Kluyveromyces lactis: one gene and its partner. The main gene of each other region encodes a partner of the protein of the gene in region 2 in a complex. Links are inferred from orthologs where the notes say so. Each region holds a gene or a part of one and is shown on either strand. Other genes may lie near its edges.

The links. Proteins that work in one complex are often made in the same cells at the same time.
Region 1: RSC58 (region 2) and SFH1 share a complex: the UniProt entries of both Saccharomyces cerevisiae proteins name them as parts of the two forms of the RSC complex. The link is inferred for Kluyveromyces lactis from reciprocal best matches to the Saccharomyces cerevisiae genes RSC58 and SFH1.

What each region holds. Positions count from the first base shown.
Region 1 is NC_006039.1:1,627,897-1,632,004, forward strand, and holds SFH1 (Sfh1p), read right to left. Parts: upstream 2,910-4,108; coding exon 1,581-2,909; downstream 1-1,580. Other genes in the region: TAD3 (Tad3p), read left to right, coding at 1-823; NKP2 (Nkp2p), read right to left, coding at 829-1,284; EFB1 (translation elongation factor 1 subunit beta), read left to right, coding at 3,632-3,711, 4,002-4,108. UniProt on the Saccharomyces cerevisiae protein: Component of the chromatin structure-remodeling complex (RSC), which is involved in transcription regulation and nucleosome positioning. RSC is responsible for the transfer of a histone octamer from a nucleosome core particle to naked DNA.
Region 2 is NC_006042.1:1,592,546-1,597,978, reverse strand, and holds RSC58 (Rsc58p), read left to right. Parts: upstream 1-2,214; coding exon 2,215-2,270; intron 2,271-2,489; coding exon 2,490-3,942; downstream 3,943-5,433. Other genes in the region: ATP-dependent RNA helicase ECM16, read left to right, coding at 1-1,898; putative divalent metal ion transporter SMF3, read right to left, coding at 4,271-5,433. UniProt on the Saccharomyces cerevisiae protein: Component of the chromatin structure-remodeling complex (RSC), which is involved in transcription regulation and nucleosome positioning. RSC is responsible for the transfer of a histone octamer from a nucleosome core particle to naked DNA.

The DNA.
Region 1 (4,108 bases), on a different chromosome or scaffold from region 2:
CGTACGAGGTATTCAGGATAATGACCCCGTTTCATTCCTTCATGTGAAACGGATCAAGAAGCTTGATAGCGACACACTACGAGTACTTATCGGCTCCAAAGAGTACATACCGGATAGATCAACTTTTGACAATATGCTGAAAGGAGTCGTTTTCCAGTATGACAATGTGAAAGACGATAACAAAGTACCGAAGGTCGGTCCATCGACTAAAAGCTTAATGTTGAAGTGGAGTGAACAGTATTGGCCGTTAATTTGGAGAGGAAATCCTAATGACCAGATATTAAACGACTATATATTTGACATGACAGAGATTCGGTCATTGTTAACCAAGATAGCAGAAGAGTCTCGAGCAATCCGAGATTCGGATAGCATGCAACTTCCAATAGTATCGGCATTCGTTAATCCAAAATCTGGTAAAATTATAATATCAAAGGATTATAGACATAGTGGATCTCCCCTCGATCACAGTGTTATGGTCGGAATAAATGAGGTAGCTAAAGAAGAGCAGGAGAGAAGAGACCGTGTCCAAAACGGTACCGCGTCAGAAAAAGATATACATCAAGGGGAAACTTATCTCTGCTTAGATTTTGACGTATACACCAGTCATGAGCCGTGCTCAATGTGCAGCATGGCACTAATTCATTCCAGAGTGAAAAGATGCATATTCATCAATCCTATGTCGGTCAGCGGTGCACTGAAACCTGATTCAGGTGATGGATACTGCATGCATTCAAACAAAGATTTGAACTCCAAGTATGAAGTCTTCCAATGGGTTGGTGAAGAATTGGAAGTGCCTGGAATAGATTCTACCGTGTGTTCTTGAGCTTTTCAACTAGAAGGTTGGTTGGTTTCCATGTCCGTTATTAATTTTGCAACATTATCGTACATGGAAGTATCTATTGCTTCAATGTCACTGAGTTCCATTGCATATTTCAAAAGTTTTGTATTTTTATTATCTAGTTCAATGTTTAATTGATTTAAATGCTGCTGCAACATATCATCAATGCTATGCAATAGTTTATTTACTTCCTCGAGAGAAATGGAGTCTTCAATTTGTTCCCGTTCGAGCTCAACTCTTATCAAAGACAGCTTGTTGTCGATGAGTTTATCTATTTTTTCAATGATCCGTTGATCATTCTCTTCATAACTTTTGTATAACTGTGACGCGATCACAGTGTTGGATTCCGGTATCGTTCTAGAAAATAGATCAACAAACTGATCCTCAGTATACAAACGTGAGACTAAAATGCCGTCTAAATGCTTGTATAATACTTCGTGGAGCATAGTAATTGAAGTAATAAGGATTTCGGGTATGTACTTTTTATTATTCCCAGCGTACGCATTACTGATTCGCGATGATCTTTGATCTTTTTCTATTTGTTGTGGAGATTTTTGGCGACTAAATAAATAATAGTCTGACGAAAAGGAAGAGTATTTGTGCAAAACCACAGATGACGGTGGTATTAATACATTAATGATACATAAATCTCCACGAATAGATGGAGAACTTTATTTTCTATACAGCTTTGTCTAATGGGCGTCTGTGAAGTTAAACTGCTTGGCCGGAAAAGAGAACACACTTATATTCTCAAAGTAGTTTCCAAGTCATCCATTCTCCTCTTGCCTCTTCTTCTGGATCTTCCGTCATCGACCTTGGCACTTTCTCTCTTTAATCTTCTCATGTTTCTCTCCTTTTCAATTTCACGCTTTTCGATTTCCCATTGTGAGAGGACTTCTACCTTAGGGAACCATGAGGCGCCAAGTGTATCTATATCTAGACGGATACCTGATGTGTAACCGAAAGCTGCCTTATTTTCTACATGGGCCAAATTCAAATTACCTTCGAGCCAATCCTTCTTTACCTTTAGCAAGGATTCATGCAACGAATGTGCAATGGCAGGAACGAACTCTCTTTGCAAGCCCAGGTCCTGTACCACCAATTCTGCGAATTGTTCTGGGCATAATGAATCGTCATTAAGGTTCCATTCAAAAGTGTCATCATAAAGCTTGGAATCGAGATTTGCAGTCAAATTTATTATCACGTGTAAATCAGGAACCTGTAAAGATGCCAATGTTTCATATTCTTGTAATTGTTCGTTAATCATAGAGATAATCTGTGTATATGGGGAATTATTTGGGTTGGAAAGCACTGGGAAATCAAGATCCTGGCACAAGATCGTAGCAAACTGTTCTGGAGTCATCGAATGGTCGTTCAAATTCCACATGAAAAAATCTGCTAACTTGTGTCCACTGAATTCAACGTTTAACCGTATTGGAACCATTATCGGGCTTTCTATATCCACTTGCTGCGGATCCTGGATAGAATCTCCAAGAAGGTCTTTATAACTGATAGCGATCCTACTTTGCACGAAAGTTTCCCTAATCCTAGGATATTTCAACAAAGCTAGCGGAGTGGCAGAATCATCCTGACTTTCAAGGTCGGGCAAGTCGTTTAGTTTGATGCGATCCAATTCTGAGCTAGGATTTGACGTTCCTGCAGTACCATCGTTTGTACCGTCTGGCCCAGTATCTGCAGCCGGCGTTCCGCCAGTGACAGCACCGGGGTCACCAGACCCGGGCGTGCCCTCACCAATGCCACCATCTTCACCGAGTCCCGCCGCTGCGGCGGCGGTGGCGGCAGCAGCCGCAGCACCTCCATCACTACCGTCTACTTGATCATAGTAGTCCCCACCCCTACGACGACCATCCGAATCGTCCACATCATCCTCCAAATCATCCTCATCGTTCTTGTCGATGAATTCATCCAAGAGATCCGTATCGAACTCAGCGTAGTTCACCTGTTTACCCCTCTTGTTTCTCGATAACTGCGCAGCAGTAAACAACGGAACATCCTCGTTCTTCACTCTATTATGGAAGTTACTCAAGTAGGCTTGCGGTACGAGCGACATATCAATACAATTTTGGGAGGCAGGTCGTAGTTGCTTTGTCTGCTGTATATCAGCACGCTTCAATGAGTAAACCGTTTGTTTGTAGTAACACTATCATAGTCTTTATTCAACCAGCCCTAAAACACGAACTTGCACTTCTATTCTTGAATTGATGGATACTTTTTCATATTCGTATACAGTGATGAGTTGATTGAACAATCTAAGTGTTACCCTGAGTAAACATTTCACTTGTCAAAAGAAAAGGAATCCAGTTTGAAAAAAATGAAAAAAAGAACACTTTCTCAGAAAAATCCGTACCGTTTTGGAACCATTTACTATGGCAAAATCGTTTTTCAAAGGGGTGGACCCATGATTTTTGAAAATAAACTTGGTTTTTCTCAAATTGTCGCAGGGCACGCCGCAGCGTGCCCTGTTTTCTGCTGTTGCCTTTCCAGTATCTATCTCATCGCACTTACAAGGAAGAAAAAAAATTTTCTTCCACCGCACATTGCATGCACTTTGAATACACGTAGATGCCATAATTCCATAGTACATACGTCTTACATATCATATATCTCATAAATATATATATATATATATTGGAACTTTTCGAATTAGAGTTTTTCATCAGCTTTTCAGTATTTTTTTTTCGTCAATTTGATTCAACGTTCCTTGTAAGAAGAAGAAGAGGAATTGATTCTTTCCTAGTTTCTTCTCTCACCAGGTTTAACTATCCATTAACGATGTCTTTCTCTGATTTCTCCAAGGTCGAAACCTTGCAAAAGTTGAACACTTTCTTGGCTGACAAGTCTTACATTGAAGGGTATGTGAAATAATTATAGTGGTGGTTTTCCAATGGCATCAAGCAGTTTTTTGAATAAGAGAATTCTTCAAAGTTTACTATTTCAATGATGAACAAATTCTTTGGTCCGTGTTTATGACGGGAAGTAAGACCCCCGGTATGAGTGACAAAGAGACAGTACCTAGACAGTACGATTCTGATTTATCTTTTTTATTGAATTCTCTTTTCAGCAAGCAAGCTTAGCTGCCATACAAAAAAATTTCATTTTTTTGTTCTTTCCATTTTACTAACTAACAATTGCATCAATATAGTACCTCTGCTACTCAAGCTGACGTCTCTGCTTTCAAGGCTTTCCAATCTACTTACCCAGAATTCTCTAGATGGTTCAACCACATTGCTTCCAAGGCTGATCAATTCG
Region 2 (5,433 bases):
TGGTTTTTATGACAGGACAGCAAGAGATCACGCACATGGTAAAAAGGTTAAGAAAAGAGTTTCCTTTCCCCAAGAAACATCAAACTCTCATTCAAAATGACCACATACCTACAGTGAAAATAGATGCCAAAACTGCAGATGTAGAAGCTGAAGATATCGACTTCAGTGTCAGAGTTAGAGAGGAACAAGAATTTGACGATTGTTTACTCTCTGATGAGGAAGATATTGAGGACAAAGAAGAGGACGAAGAAGAAGGTTTTGAAGAAACACTTGAAGAAGGTCAGACGGATAGAGATCCACTATATGTTCTTCCTCTTTACTCGCTATTGCCCACCAAAGAGCAAATGAAGGTCTTCCTTGATCCCCCACCAAACTCCAGATTATGTGTTGTTGCTACTAATGTGGCAGAAACATCATTGACCATACCGGGAGTAAGATACGTCGTTGATTGTGGTAGATCAAAGGAAAGAAAGTTTGATGAAAATAATGGTGTTCAGAGTTTCGAAATTGACTGGATTAGCAAAGCTTCTGCTGGCCAAAGAAGTGGTAGAGCAGGGCGTACAGGGCCTGGTCATTGTTATCGTTTATACTCCTCTGCAGTTTTCGAAAGAGATTTTGAGCAGTTTTCTAAGCCTGAAATTTTAAGAATGCCTGTGGAGAGTATAGTTTTGCAAATGAAGAGCATGGCTGTTCATAATATTGTGAATTTTCCATTCCCTACCCCACCCGAAAGACCAGCTTTGATGAAGTCAATAAAGCTCTTACAACACCTAGGTGCACTCGACAGTAATGAAAGAATCACTGATGATGGTAAAGCAATGAGTTTGTTTCCGCTAAGTCCAAGATTTTCTAAAATGCTGCTTGTTGGTAATGAAAGCGACTGTTTGAAATATGTTGTTACCATTGTCAGTGCCCTTTCAGTAGGTGAGCCGTTTTTATCTGAACAAGAGCTTGGTATCATGGATACTGTGCCCAAGACACAAGATGAAGGACAATTAGATGACTATCCTGATCACGAAGCTGAGGAAAGAAAAAGGCTATTGCGCTCCAAGTATGTTAAAAGCAAAATTAGATTTAGTAAGCTTGATAAATTCAGTGATGTTTTCCGTCTTTTAAGTGCAGTATCTGCGTTGGATTTCATTCCAAAGGATCAGCACAGTTCTTTCATGGAAAAAAATTTCTTAAGGGCAAAAACCGTAGAGGAGATTATGAAGTTGAGAAAGCAGGTGATGTTCATCATCAGGTCAGTTACTTCGAGAGAAAATGTAGCTGTAAATGTTAAAGACGAAGACTTGAAGAGCTCGATCCCCACCGATGTTCAAATCAAATTACTCAAGCAAATGATCACAGCAGGATTTATCGACCAGGTGGCCGTTCGCGCAGACCAGTTATTCCCGGAAGACGTTACTATCAACAAAACCAACATTTTCAATATCCCTTATGTTCCAGTCCTTGCTGAGAAAACATCTTCTTTGGATGATATCTTTGTTTATATTCATCCAACCTCAATTCTCAACAATTCTGGCGAGCAACCTCCGAAATACTTGGTTTTCCAATCACTACATGTCAATAAAAATAATGAAAAGGCGAAAACAAGGATGAAGTCTCTTTGTGACATTAAAAGCACGCCATTGGCTAACGTTGCAAGAAAGGGCTCGTTACTCACTTACGGAAAACCAATCACTGGACAAGGTTTGAAACCTATTGATTTATCGCCAACAGAAAGATTCTGCTATGTTGTTCCTAGATTTGGATCTTGCAATGATAGCGACATCAAGATTGGTTGGGAACTCAATCCTATCCCTGTTCATCAAGAGAAAGAGAAAGGTGTATGGACGGTCAAGAAATTCCTTACTCCAAAAGCATTTAAAAACTATCAAGCTTCGAAAAGACCCTAGAACTACACCAGTACAATTTATAGAATTAATTAACTCATATAATACCAATTGCATTGGAATAATTAAAGGCCAATACCTAGCTTGTTAGGCTATGACTGGGTACTGTTGCTGTGACAGGAATCTCTGTAAAAGCTGTCAATGGATGCCAGTTGGATCATGATGTACGGTTTTGATGTTTTTCATAATGAAAACACAGGTTTTGGCGCAGGTTGATCAATAAAGGCTTCTTACATTACTGCTGAATGACAAACTGATGGGCAGTGAGAGAGTACAAGGTCTGCAAACTCTTTTATAGTGGGCTAAAAATAAGTAAACAATGGTAGAGCTGCTAAAAGAGAATTTTTTTCAGAACTTACTAACTGTTTTAAAAGGGTATGTGAATATAAAAACAACACATTTTTCATTCGAATTATGTTGCATTCGCACATGTTTTTGTCTAGAATCGGTGATAATAATAAATTAAAGACCAGCATACGATGACCTGGGGTTCCTCAAGTCTTTATTTTATGTTTTCAGTGTTAGATTTGCCAAAGCATGATTTTATTTTACAATCAAATACTAACAGTATTAATTTTATTTTGATTTAATTAGTGCATCTTCGAAATGCAGAGCTTTAGATGAAAGGTTTCCTAAAGAATTCTACGAGCCTGATCCAACACACATATACGATTCTTACGTGAAGTTTCTAAGGGCCAAGTTTGATGAAAATCCAGATATCAAAATAGCAGAAGATATTGATTCAATTTCCATATCTGATAAATTTGCTAGTGGAGATTACCAGAAGCATGAAGATTCTGTTTATCGGATTTACCATGATATTAAATTAGTATGCTCCATTTTAATTCACTACTACTCTCAAGGAACGAGGTCGTACCAAATGGTCGACAAATTCTACAAATTTGCAGCAGAATTGATTCTAAGGGAATGTTATAGAGTTGGAGCCAAACTGGTGGGAGACTTCGCGGCAGACATTGACTTCAAAGAAAGTGATTTTTCAAAAACCATTTCCAATGATTTCCTTAAAATTAGTCAAGTTTATCAGCTCCCCGTTACTGAAACTTACCATACGCAGACAAAGGAGGGACATTTGTTCAGTTCGGTGATAACGAGGTCAGTACTTGATCAGAGGCCAAAGGAAGTACCATACGAGGAATGTGAAATTGTGAAAATTATTCCTCAAGCAACATCCCAACCAGCCAATAGATTGGGATTCGTAGCAGCTAACACTTCCAATGTTCCTGATCCAACAATTTCTCCTACAGAAATCATGACCTCCTTTCTGCATCCGAATTGGTACCCGCTACCCACTACTAAATGGTTGGAGTATGGCGACTATCAATCTTTTGCTCCGAGTATCTCGGAGTTCAAGTCTGTAACAGATTGTTCCCGTAAAGGAGACATATGGTTGGAAAAGGTCGGATACAAAAGCTGGTTAGAAATAGAATCGAAGAAGAGAGGGGCTGCGGAAGCAGAAGATAAAAATGTTGAAGATGAAAAAATAAAGGATGAGGGTATTGAAGATCAAAAGGTTGAGGAAGCAAATGACAGTATCGGATCTGACAACCAAAAAAAGGAATCAAATGAAAATGATGAAGAGCAGAATGTTGCCACGGATGAAGAGCAAGATACAAATGAGGAGGGAGATGAAGTAATAGTGACAACGGAGCCAGCTGGACCTGTCAATATTAATTTGAAAAATCTTTATGACTGGCAACCTAGCCATGAGATACATGATGAAGATATAACGGCTTTTGAGCAAGGTGAACAGCAAAGGTTATTGACAGAGATATTGCTAAAGCTAAAGGCATGTAAATCGAGAAGGGTCAAGCTGAACAAGATATCAAAACCAACAAGTGAGGAAGTTTCCCTTTATCATAGAGCACAGAACATCTTGAAAGAAGCTCTACTTTCTAAACAGATTGTGACATCTCCAAAATTGCACGAGAAACATTTCCCAGTCCTTCAGACTAATTATGCCGGATCAGTTCCTGTCGTCAAGACCATATCGACTAGAAAAAAGAAAAGTAAGAAAGTTATGCAGTGAAGTAGATATTTCCGTATAGAATCTATAAATCGCAGCTGTGGTAGTGTGCAATAATCTGTGGGGCTAGTTTATTATCAGTGATAGCTAACGGTTACTATTATTTGGAGTTATTTTCTGAAACCATCAGTGTTTCGATTTTTTTACTTCCTCAATTACTTTCGAAGGTAAATGTCCAAGAACAATTAAAGATTATATAAAGAACAAAGAAATTAACCACAACAAAGGTACAAGAGAAGAGATCAACAAAGCAGATCCAATAAGTACAATTTACGAATTGATTATAGATTAAACAGAATCCATCAAAACTATATAAAATGCCTACTTAGACTTAAAAATGCACGTCCGCTCCCATGAGGTATGAAAATACAAGATAACAATTCAATGAACCAATTGTCAACCATATAACAAATGAACTGATGCTCAACAGTCTTCCATTGGTGTAGTCAATGGACTTAACGCCTTTCGATAATAATCTACTTTCTTCAGTACTGTCTGCAGATGCGGGTGCAGAATCCACATCCACAACGGTCATAATTTTATGATTCATAGTGAAGTAAATCAAAGGAGCAGAAACGATTGGTAAAATCAATGAGAGAACCACTTGACTCAAGTTTAGAATACTAGATACCCCCTTTTCTCCCAAGAAAGCCGTAACTAAGAAACAGGGTACGATGGCTATCAACCTTGTCAATAGACGAGTCACCCAAGGTTCAAGTGACCACTCTAAAAACCCTTCTGATACAATTTGACCTGCCATGGTACAAATGACACCTGCTGATTGACCACTAAAGAGCATTGCCAATGCAAATACGAGCCCAGCAGCTGGAGACACATAATGGGACAATAATTCATAAATAGAGAGTAAATCAGCATCCTCTGCATCGGGTTGCCCATATAAAGTCGCACCAGCGACTATTAAAATGGCAGCATTGACGAAAGTGGCGATGAAAAACAACGACACTATCAATTCAGCGTACGAATATCGCAACGTGTACTCAATGGCACCTACTGAAGGTTGTTCCTTAATTTTACCGTATTTTTTTAAGTCGTAATCGAAAACCCTTGGTTTTACGAGAGAGGAACCCAAAAATAAGGAATGAGGCATCACAGTAGCACCAAGAATACCTAAAGAGATATACATCGCTTGTTGTTCTTTGAAGATGATGGGATTTGGAATGAAGCCTTTGAACACCTCTAACTTGCTTGGTACGGATATCTTGAACAATTCAATAGCGAAACAAATAACTGTCGCTCCAACTAAAATCCCAACAAAAGTTTCGAACGCCCGGACCCGTTTCATGGAATGTTCATCTGGCCTGTAAAACAGAAGTATCAGCAACACATCAAAAACGGTCAACAGCACACCCCATAACAAGGGAATGTTAAACAAGATATTTAATGCAACGGCAGCACCAATCACTTCCGCCAAGTCTGTTGCGATAATTGCAACTTCTGCAAACCCGTATAGAATATAATTAACACGCTTTGAAA